Bombyx mori: one gene and its partners. The protein of the gene in region 1 binds, or shares a complex with, the protein of each later gene. Links are inferred from orthologs where the notes say so. Each region holds a gene or a part of one and is shown in the gene's direction. Other genes may lie near its edges.

Region 1 (4,300 bases):
CCTAGACACGTCCTTACGGATCCATCAGATCCAATAACACTTGCTTTAAATGCCTTCACCTCTAACGCTAGGAGCAGGCTTACACCCCGGTAACCGAAATCGTCGTCGTCGTCGAAATCGGCAAAGAATTCGACGTGCAAGCTAACCCATGCATCGGCCCGCTAAGTTTCTCGCCGGATCTTCTCAGCGAGTCGTGATTCCGATCCGGTAGTAGATTCATTCACGAAGCAGTTGCTCTTGAGTTGTTAGGTCTCGTTTGGAGGCGTTTGGGCAGCTGTTAGCTAATCCCAACCCTCCTGGCTGAGCCCGTGCTCACCCACCTGTCCTGGTAAAACTGGAAAGGCCTCTGAGCCACCAGTAATCCATCATTCATAAGAAAAAACCTTTAAAGACCGGAACGCATGTTTATGGACACACTCTAGAAAACTTGGATACGTTCCGTCATGACATATTCAAGTGTAGTGTTCGCTCACGCGCTCCACACTCACATAAACTCCAGGTCAGCCAATCCCGTTTCTACAAGATAGCCTTCGAAGCACATTAGTATGTAAGGAATTAACGACATCCAATTAAAACCAACACGTGAAGGTACCGTCACAACGCTTCTTCGAAAGAGCGGTGCGACGCGATAACCTTTTTATTGTGGCTGTCTTTAACTACATAATCGTCACAGACGACGGGGCACATCGGGACACTCCCGATTCACTCTCGGTGCTTTCAGACTGTCTAAGCACTGATCACCGCTCTCATCGAACTCGTCAATTAACCCATAGACACAGTCTAATGTCTTTCTCATCGATTTTTTTTGTGGGTTGCGATTCCGATCCGGTATTAGATTCAGCGAAGCACAGTTTTTGTTCTGGGTCAATGTTAGCTCGGGTTAAGCCAGTACTTGCTGGATCATGACGGAAATAGACAGTGTAATAATCCACCACCAGTAAAATTAGAGGAAGAGGCAGAGAGAATTATAAAGGAAAAAAAAATAAAAAAAGTCTTCTGTGGTTTAATTAAATAAAACCATATTTTGAAGTGACTTTTCGACATCATTGTGAAGAAGATTTTGACTTCCAAACAGATTTTAATAAATTAAACTACGAGTGTGACGTTATTATCGAATTTCATGCAAACCTAAGTATAGCCCTTTTCAAGTTCCAAGGAAGTCTGGAAGACACGTTTTATATTAATCTAAGTTACATAACAAAGGAGTTGGCATTGTTGTTACTTATGAACTAGTCTGATTTATCAATTCTTAGTTCCTTGGCATAAGAAAACAGCCTTGTTAATTCCACTTTTTAATTTTATGAGCTATGTTAGTGACTTGGGATCTCGGTCTGGCCATTGCCCTAATCGAATTTTAGCGATCTTGGATTATGTAGTAATATTTTAAAAACTTATTAAAATTTATTTGTCCATGATTTGTTTTTTTTTTCTTAAAAATTAAATTTTTAAATGGATTCAACAATCTAAGTTGAAATTGTCGATGGTCAGATCATTGTTTTGTTTACCTACTGAAGCCGATGTATTCTGCGTTTTCTTCTTAATAACAAGTATTATATGTAATTAAGTACTATTAAAGTGAACAAGAAAAGGAGAACGGTTTTTCGTGCATTTAAAGCCGCACAACAATCTTTCGATACGAACACGGTAAGATTCTTGAGTTTCCAACGTTATGTCGATTACCCGACCGATTTGTAAGATCCTAATTTGAATTGATAAAATAACAATAGTTGAGATAATAACCACGAAATTTGTGTTTATACTTGTTACGAAGTATTAGTGAAAACTGTAAATTAGGTAATTGAAATATCTTCGAAACATCTTCGTTATTTTTAATTTCTTGCTTATTATACCATCCTCAAAAACATAAATCAAACGAGTATTGCGACACTCTTAATTTCGTTTGGTTTTACCTCAAAATTGACGTCACACGTTTTGGTTGCAAAATTTTCTAATAAAATTGTGAAATTCGTTGTGCAATAAAAAGCTAATATAAATAAGCATACAGCAACAATGCTTTACGGTTGCGAGTTATCGCTATAAAGTGCAATACCAACGGAAATTCTCTAAACGTCTTGTGGTTAGGTTAAGTACTGCGTCTAAAATTTAAAATTAATAGAATTCAAATAGACACAGAGTTATATTTAAAATACGTTTTGCAATAAAAGTGAATAAATTGAAAGAATTTAATAGTAAAATTCAAAAATACTATTGTTAGAAATTCTGATAATAGTGTAGGTATTTGTATACTTTTTTCAATATTTTTATTTTTGATTTTAAAAACGACTAATCTTATAAAATATAAACTAAAATCTAATTAAGGTTAAGTTTTGTAAAATTTAAAAGTATTTTTTTTTTGTAAAACTTAGTGATATTTTTATTGTCTCTAGAGAGAAACTAGCAGTTGTCTTTGAAAACAGTAACATTGCCTTTGTAGACAGACATTCTATTAATTTTCAAACACATATAAACCGACAATTATGGCAGTCATCACGAAACATGAACTTTTGAAGTGGAATGACTGAATTATTCCTAAATGACTTTATTCTAGGCTATCAGAAACATCATAACTCCCAACTGTATGAATTCAGAGGAAAAAATTGTCTTCTCACTGACTATTTTACCAACAAAGCTATGGTCTTACTAACAGTATTATAAACTAAACACGTTGCACACTGGCATTACAGAGTCCTATGAGCCTGTATGGGTAGATACCACTGTCATGCCTGTTTTTGCTATGAAGCAGCAATATATTACGGCTTTAAGCAGGGAAAAGCTACAACTAACTTAGAACTCATCTCTCGAGGTGGCTGGCGGTATTTATGTTGTTGATGTCTAAGGGCTGCAGTAACTCCATAAAAAGGAATTCCAAAGAAACCAAATAACATTAGGCTTAGTGGTGATTAAAATTGTTGATTTGGCCAACATATTCAAATAGATAAGATCTTGGAATTATGATCCAATTTAATCTAATTATTTCATTAAATTTTTTTATTACTATACAACTGGGACATGGATCTCACGTTTTTAGGTGGGTGGTGGCATTATGTGCTCTGCTAGCCACTTAACCAAGCCAGGACACCCAAGAGAACGCTCACACTTCAATACTTTTAAAAAAATTATTAAAGGGGTTGTCGTTCTAATGAACTATTTGAAATTTATCTATAGTTTGAGAACCACACCAGCTGTAGCTGGAGCAGTTCTCATTCCTAATACCCGGAACTGTCATAGTTTTTGCCGCATACTGTGCACTATTTCTCAAGCACACAGGACATGTCTTAGAATAAGGATGTGTTTCAAACATAGCCTTTAGGATTGAAAAGTTGCATAATAATTTTGGCCATGGTTTTATTGGTTACCGATAGTGTTTTTTTATAGCTTTGATGGGTGGACAAGCTCATGGTCCACTTGGTGTTAATTTTTTTTTATTGCCTTTGTAGGCAGACAAGCATACGGCCCACCTGATGGTGAGTGGTTACCGTCGCCCATGGACTTCAGCAATGCCAGGGGCACAGCCAAGCTGCTGCCTACCGCTTAATACTCTCCACAAGCCTCATTTGAATAAACTGGTAACCTAACCCCATAAGAGATCTGCAATGTAGATGCCACCACCCACCTCAAGATATGAGTTGTAAGGTCTCAATTTGAACAGTACAATGTTGGTGAACAACACCTGGGCCCATATCTGTCTGAAATCAAAGACTATAAAAAAGTTAATATGGGAAATAAATTTAAATAATATTTTTCCTTATAAATTTCACTATAGCATGACTCATTTGTGACCTTTTACTTTCATTCTTGGAATATCTGTGTCATGACATTGATTTCATAATTGAACACACTGAACCACTGTGTAATAAGATCCTTCTACTCTTGGTCATTATATATAAAGAGTCCTATTCATAAAACATGTTTTAATTTCAAGAACATTTTACACTGCATTTTGTTACATGATAGTGTAGCCATCTGTTATTGTGTATTGCTGAAGCAAGCACCAGTATTTTGTTAATAAAACAATGTTTGGACTAAATAATATATTGTACTACTAATAAAAATATATTATATGTACCCACAAACTATAAAGTAAACATAAAATTTGAAATAATTAAACTCTTACAAACTACGAAATGAAAAGGGTACTATTTGAAGTAGCTGTATAAAAACAACTATATACCAAAAAAAATATAATAGGGTAACATAAACAAAAAAATTTACAAACTTTAAAATAAAACAAAAAGGTTTCTTTATATAAGACTGATTAATAGCAAATATACAAACTCTTATATAATTATCTTATATATAT
Region 2 (3,656 bases), on another chromosome or scaffold:
AGACACGGGTTCGTGGAGTGCTTGGAAGCGGAGGAGTGGAGGAGCGGGGGCGGCGGGGAGGACGCCGCGCTGCGCCGCGCCAAGGAGGGCGTCCTCTCGCTGCTGCACCACGTGCTGCCCGCGGCCCCTCCCAACTTTGCGCACTTCCTACTGGGATACCAGCTCACTGAAGACGTGAGTTGATAATTGTGTTTGAACCCATCAACTAACCCGTTCATTACATTAGAATAGTGAATACATATATCGCACATACGGTGCGATAACGGCACTTATGCAAATTATGTAATTTTTCAGGAGAAAAATATAATTTATTTATTTATTAAGTTGCACCAACAAAGTGATCATCAAACAAATTGATAACAAAAGTTCATGGCAGATGTCACCTTAATTATTATAGGTGCAATCGACAGTGCAACAACAACAAAAATATATATATAACTAAGATTATATTATATAATTCTTATATAGTTCTGCTAGGCTATAGAAATAAAATGATAATATTTAAACTACAACTTTAAACTTCATCAGTAAAACCAAACATCTCTTTCGTCTCAATAATAACTATTAAAAAATTTATTTTCTCATACTCAGTTCAGTGTAACAAAAATTGCATAAGAGACTTTATAGCACCATAATTGTGTGCGATATGTTTTCGTGACACAGATATCCCGGAGTGCCATCCACGAGCCGGGAGTGGCGGGCTTCCCCCGGACCTGCCTGCACTCCATACTGGACCTGCTGGACCAGCACATCGCCGGACACTCTCCCAACAGGTGCCTCTACACCAGCTTTTCCCAAAGTGGGCGATAACGCCCCCTTGTGGGCGCTGCAGGCCTAAAGGGGGGCGGTAAGAGACCCAGAAATAAAATGAGGGCGTTGAGTAGGGTAGTTCATCTAGGAGGGCTCTTAGACACCAACTGAGCTCTCGCTTTAATGGTATAGTAGGTGAAAAAATGGAAGCGCTAAAAAATAATTTATTCTCAAAGTGGGCATTAAACAAAAAAAAATACATGTGTGCAATTCACACGTGGTAGAAGTGAAACCTTCCAAAATTAAAATACAATTATCCTAAACGTCTTAAGTATATGTAAAATTTTGTCATTAGTAAATAATTGTAAGGTAGCGCCCTCTGTGAATTGATATTTTAATTTCACGTATAATCCTAAATTAAAATTCACTACAAGAGCTTTCATACACACGTTAGTATTAAAAAAATCTCACAGATGGCGCTGTATTAAATAGTATGTATATTTCTGTCTCATTCTTTTGTATTTGTGTCTCTTACCTGTCGTTTTTCCGTTGCATCCTGTTTGAAATCACAACGATTCTAAAGAAGTTTTCACTTCAATAAGTTTGAGAGCCCCTGCTCTACACGATATTCATCAAAGGACCGTTGGCCCGACCGCGCCGTGTATACCTTCTGCATTTAGTACGACAGTGTGTTTGCTGATTTTATGTAACAACGAATCAACAAAATAATCATAATTTCTTATATGTACATGCAAAACTGTGCAGCTGTGTGGTTGTTTGTTGATAATTTATGCCTATGATCTAAGACTTGTTAGAGCCGTTTCATATTTTTGTCATGGTACTATCGGCGCGTAGATGCTCCGCGTGGGGTTCCAATGAGTGGGCTATTCATACATTTAAGATGCCACTGAGTTTCTCGTAGGATCTTCTCAGTGGGTCGCGAGTCCGATCCGGTAGTAAATACATTCGCGAAGCAACTACTTTTGAGTTGATAGGTCTCCTTTGGAGACGTTCGGGCAGCTGTTAGCAAATCCCACCCCTCCTGGCCTGGTAAAACTGGAAAGGCCTCGGGGACACCAAACATTAAAAAAAAATTAAGACTTTCTTTTTCATTTTGTGTACAAGCTTATTAACGAACTTCAGTATTATTAATAAAAAAGAAAAGGGAAACACTTATGCTTCCTTTACAAGAAAAAAATCACATTAAGAAAACAAAAGAAAAATTATAATATATAAAATTTGCCAAAATTTTCATGTCTCAGTCATGTGTTCTCATAAAGGCCTAATTTTTCAAAGCGGCGTAATGACGTCCACTTGATAATAATCCGAGTGTGCTCATATATATTAAAAAATCTCTGGTCAAAACTATACAAGTTATATGGATATAAAATTATACAACACATGTATTCTGATAACAGAGAAGCGACCGACTTAGTCGAGAGCTGCTACCGCCTGGTGTACCGGCTGTGCGCGAGGCCGAACACCTCAGCACCGACGCTGCGCTTCCTGAGGTCCAGGGACTACTTCCTGTGTAGACACGTCAAGCACAACGTCGACCTTAAGGTAAACTGTTTCAGTCACGTGACAGAGACAAGACGGTCCACGAGTCCGGCTGGGTGAGTGCTGTACCACAGGAACGACGCCAGGAGCCAAGACTCTTTATGTGAGACTAGCTTTTGCCCGCGGCTTCGTCCGCGTGGAATAGTTCACAAATAATGCTTTATTATAGAACAAATTTGGTTAGCATAAAAAACGTTATAGTGAGCCAACCTTAACATATAGACATATACCGTCGCGGACTTTTTTTTAGATCTTTCATACATTATTACAGCGAAACTTTAATCGTTTCTGCAGCGCACGCAGCGGAAGCTCAAAAGGGAAAAAAACCCGATATTGAAACATTCGTTATTGGTGCTTCGCTTCTATTGGTCTTAGCGTGATGTTATATAGCCTATAGCCTCTCTTAATAAATGGGCTATCTAACACTGAAATAATTTTTCAAATCGGCCTAGTAGTTCCTGAGATTAGTGTGCTCAAACAAACAAACTCTTCAGCTTTATAATATTAGTATGGATTGGAAAAAGTAATGAAAAATAAGTTTTTAAGTGTTCACACTGGAATTAGCTTGAACTGTTGCGACGGTAGAATCGACAAGTTACGAAGCAATATTTGTGTTTGTATTGTTTAGAGTGCGTCGCCCGTGACCGTGTCGGCGCGCTCGTGGGTGCTGCGTGCGTGCGCGTGCGCGGCGGGCGCGGCGGCGGGCGCGGGTCAGCACGCCGCGCTGGCCGCGCTGCTGGCCGCGCTCACGGGCCGCAGCGCCGTCGCCGCGCCGCCCGCGCAGGACTGGGAGTGGTGCCTGCTGCGCCGCACGCTGGAGGAGCTGCCGGTCGCCGTGCAGGAGGTGCGCGAGCCGCGCTGGGAGCTGTTCCACGCGCAGCAGCTGCGACAGGCCATCGCATCCTGTGACCTGCCCACAGGTCCTATACATTATAGATTTGAATTTATATATTAAAATGATAAGTGACATTTATATCATTAGAACTTGTCAGCTATAATATTTCGGTGGTTCTTCCGTGATAACAATACTTAATATTATATTATAAACGTTAATGATAAGGTTAACGGCAACAACGTCTCGAACCGTGCAGGTGGGGGCGGGCGGCGCGTGAGCGTGTCGCGGGTGCACGCGCTGCTGGCGCGCGAGCTGGCCGCGCTCAACGCCACGGCGCCGCAGAGGAACCTCGTCAAACTAGAAATACAAAAGGTGCATCGCTCATACATCTTATTTATTGATATTTTGTTTTTAAATAAAAGAAATACATTACAGTTCATTAATATGTAGATTAAAGGATATTATATAATAATAGATTGTTTAGCAGAGATTCCGAGCACAACACTGTAGG
Region 3 (3,656 bases), on another chromosome or scaffold:
CGCGACCCACTGAGAAGATCCGACGAGAAACTCAGTGGAATGTGTCTGTAGGCTAATTTACTCGCCGAGCCCGTAGTCGCAAGCGACGGATTCGACGAAAACTATGACCAGTGCTTGGGGTACCTAAAAGCACCCTTAGTGGATCGGGAGGATCCGAGATGACGTGTTTTTTCCTATCCATTCACTGGTACCCTGTAAGGGTGTAAAGGATATTCCACGGGACCGCAGACAGGTAGTTGAGCTCATGGGCACAACCTGAGAGGGCTTGCTAACACTAGCCTTTGCAAGAGCAGGGCAGTATCTACCACCGGATCGGAATAAATTGAAATTTTAATTATTTTCATTTATTTTGTTACTATATGTAGAGAACAAAATATAAAAATATATGTTTTATTTTAATTTTTAAGGAAATGAACATTTAGAGAACATGATACAAAATGAAACGAACTGGTCATCCGGTACGGGTTCACAGTTTATATCGATAATACAGAGGTGCGTGGCGGTGCTCATGTTCGCTTTGCGTCTCAAGAGTCTCGTCACGGGATCCAACGAGATGACGCCGTTGGAACATCTCATATTCACTCAGAATAAGCAGAAGGATTCATTGAAAGTTGTACCCAAAGTGACAAGTTATATCAATCACGTGTTCAACAAAAGCTTGGCCGTGTTGTGCTGTAGGCTCTTGAAGATGTTTGCCGATGTGAGTATTATTATATTTATTTAAAATCCAAGCAAAAGTGAAGTTTCATTTTGATAAAAAGGACATACACATACATGCTCAAAACTCGAAGGTCGAACTAGGATACTGATTAAGCAGCGAGGGCTTAGATACAATGAAAAAATAATAATAATTTAATATTATAGTTTATTTGTAAACTGTAAAGTTTTGCCACACTCTTGTTATTATTATTTGATAATTTGGTTAGTAAACTAAATCACGGGTTCCCGGTTCGATTCTCAACATATAAGTATTCAAATTGAAGCTACGAGTGGTTTGGGGCTCAATAGGTTTTATCATTATCTTATGACATCAATATTATTTTATAATAGAAGGAATATAACCACTTAACACCAGGTGCGCTGTGAGCTCGTCCATCCATTTAACAAAAAAAAAAAAAATTAAATTGATGATTTTTTTTTTACACAGAGTTTCCAGATGTCCTTGTTCGCGTCGTTGGACATGACCGCGTACCAAGTGCGGGTGTTGTTCCTCGATCGACTTCGCGACGAGTACGAAACGACAGAACTAAAAGTGGCCATACTAGAGTTCGTGGCCACGTGCGTGGGCACGCAGCCCGGCCTCACTGAAGCGTTCTTCATGATGAACTACGAAAAAACGAATGACGATAAAAAACTCAAGGAAACCGATAAAGATAAGGAGGAAAACCTGTACAACTACGAAAGCATCCTCGGTTATATGGCGGAGTACTTGGGAACTGTGAAGGCTGTAAGTCATCTTCTTTGTCTCCACCTTATCCCACTAGGTGGGGTTGGTACAGCGAAATTCCAGTCTCTTCTATCAGCCGTCAAGTCAACACACACTCCTCTCTTTCATATCGTCATTCACACACTCCATCCATGTCTTTTTCGGTCGACCTCTTCCCTCTCTACCTGGCACTACCACTCTTACGCGTCACATGTCCATACCACGCTAACAGTCTGTAAAAGGTTATAAGTCATCGTTGGAAGTCATTTATCAGAGCAGCAAACAAACAGAAGTACCTACTTACAGATTGATTCATAATTGTGTAATTATTATTTCAGGATGCGAAACAACTTCAAAGTCCGCTCTTAGGGTGCATAATGGGTCTGTTCCATGCTCTATGGAAGAACAATATGCAGATTCTTGTGAAAAAATTACGCGAAACCGCAACATTTTGGGATTACATGACCAGTCCACTCTTCAGTGAGATACAGCCCGGCTTGAGAACTTATTCGCAAATATTCAACGTTATCGGCATAGAACTATTCGTCTCTCGGGGGAAAATAGAAAACGCTTTGAAACTGATGCTCGAGCAATTGTTTGATACCAACAAAACCCATTTGGACAAATGGATCAACCATATATTTGCGTTTAAAGGTAGAAGCGAAAATGAGCCCGTCGATAAAGTGCCGGTCTGGCTTGGATTGTTAACCTCTTGGAAAGATTTCACCACGATCTTTTGCAAAACCTTACCGATAAGTTTGAATATAGCGCACAAAGCGAAAATGGTCACCCCCTGCATGACCGCCTTGTTGAACGAACTCGAAGATCTGAAAGACGGAAGACTGGTCGTTATGTTGGCCGAACTGTACGTCATAATGTTGGCCAATTGGAGCCACGATTGCTTTGAAAACAGAAAAGCCAGTGCCAAACAAATCGATCGTTTATTAACCAACACTGCGATTATATACGAATGCCTCCACCCGAGGGCCAAAAAAGCCATCCTCTCCATCTGCACAGTCGCGATCAGCGGTCTCGATTATGAAATAAAGGCTAACAGTGCCACCGCGCAAAGCATTATTAGATCCGTGACCAATTTAAATAGCGTTGAGTTGGAGAAATTGTTTGACGATTTCAAGGATCTTCCTAAATCGGACACGAAGACCACCGAGCCCTCGACGTACGAGGACGTATCGCCGGTCGTTCTATCATTGGCGATGTTGGAACAGTGTCTGGAGTTGTACGACGACATGTTCTCGGGACTATCGCAGTGGTTCCAGTCGAGTCGATTCATAAACAAGCTCCTGTGCTGTTTGCAGATGTGTTTACAGAGCCGTCGCCATTACCAGACGTCCCTGGCGGCGTTACGGTGCCTAACTGTGTACTCCCGGGGACCTTTCTCTAAGGAGCTCTTGCTGAGCGATATCGACCAGTTTTTATGGATGCAACTGTTGCCGCCAAAATTCGACGGCGTAACTTGGAAGCCCGAGGAGTGGTGGAAAGTGTACTCGTACAGCTTAGACTTTATATCCATGATGGTCATGAAACACGGTCAGTTCTTTGCGAGTGACGCGATCACATTTGTCGGGGTCCACTTGGAACATTTGATAGAGGCCATAAACCTGCCACGACAGGTCGTCAGCATCGATTCGTTAAATGTATGCGCGTCCGCTTTGAATCTTATAGTTCAATTAGTGAAATACGAATCTAGATGGCGCTTACAGAACATGCATTCGCTTTTTGGTATTATGGTGAGTATTATTGATAAGATTATAAATTACTAGTTGTTATTCGTGGCTTCACGATCAATGAAAAGGTTGCCGGAGTCAGTTTCCTCACATAATTAAAAAAAAAACATGTCAGTCCGTCGCTTCGTTTCGACATGGAAGAAAGACCAATGAACATAAAAAAACACTTCCATATATACCTTTCAATCCATTTTTCAGGAATTGATTAACGTAAATGTTCTAGTTGAACAAAGGTTATTTTTGTAAAAAATTTAATCCGACCCAATATTTTTTTGTCAAGTGAAATGCATATACTACGTTAATGTGCATAAAGAATATCTTCATTACATAAATATATATTTATTTTGAACAGAGAAGTATAAGCGCGTGCCTGTACCAATGCGTGATCTACATGATCCGATCGCGACGTACCTCCGACGCCGCGCAGCCTCCGAGCGACGACACTCCGCCGACGCCGTCCTTATTGCCAAGGTAAAAAATTATAA

Evidence for each region. The genes of interacting proteins can lie anywhere in the genome.
Region 2: nuclear pore complex protein Nup98-Nup96 (region 1) and nuclear pore complex protein Nup205 share a complex: the UniProt entries of both Drosophila melanogaster proteins name them as parts of the nuclear pore complex. The link is inferred for Bombyx mori from reciprocal best matches to the Drosophila melanogaster genes Nup98-96 and Nup205.
Region 3: nuclear pore complex protein Nup98-Nup96 (region 1) and nucleoporin Nup188 share a complex: the UniProt entries of both Drosophila melanogaster proteins name them as parts of the nuclear pore complex. The link is inferred for Bombyx mori from reciprocal best matches to the Drosophila melanogaster genes Nup98-96 and Nup188.

The regions. Positions count from the first base shown.
Region 1 is NC_085117.1:3,515,443-3,519,742, forward strand, and holds the start of nuclear pore complex protein Nup98-Nup96, read left to right. Parts: upstream 1-1,463; 5' UTR 1,464-1,644; intron 1,645-1,678; exon of another isoform or gene 1,679-1,794; intron 1,795-1,925; exon of another isoform or gene 1,926-2,231; intron 2,232-4,300. UniProt on the Drosophila melanogaster protein: Part of the nuclear pore complex (NPC). Required for MAD import as part of the Nup107-160 complex and required for nuclear export of Moe probably via its association with Rae1. Plays a role in nuclear mRNA export.
Region 2 is NC_085121.1:1,021,254-1,024,909, forward strand, and holds part of nuclear pore complex protein Nup205, read left to right. Parts: intron 1-2; coding exon 3-174; intron 175-663; coding exon 664-773; intron 774-2,168; coding exon 2,169-2,313; intron 2,314-2,938; coding exon 2,939-3,230; intron 3,231-3,401; coding exon 3,402-3,517; intron 3,518-3,656. UniProt on the Drosophila melanogaster protein: Plays a role in the nuclear pore complex (NPC) assembly and maintenance, but with limited role in NPC permeability. Required for specific nuclear import pathways such as Mad import.
Region 3 is NC_085111.1:4,865,148-4,868,803, reverse strand, and holds part of nucleoporin Nup188, read left to right. Parts: intron 1-407; coding exon 408-700; intron 701-1,147; coding exon 1,148-1,447; intron 1,448-1,764; coding exon 1,765-3,174; intron 3,175-3,523; coding exon 3,524-3,642; intron 3,643-3,656. UniProt on the Drosophila melanogaster protein: Component of the nuclear pore complex (NPC), a complex required for the trafficking across the nuclear envelope. Required for proper protein transport into the nucleus.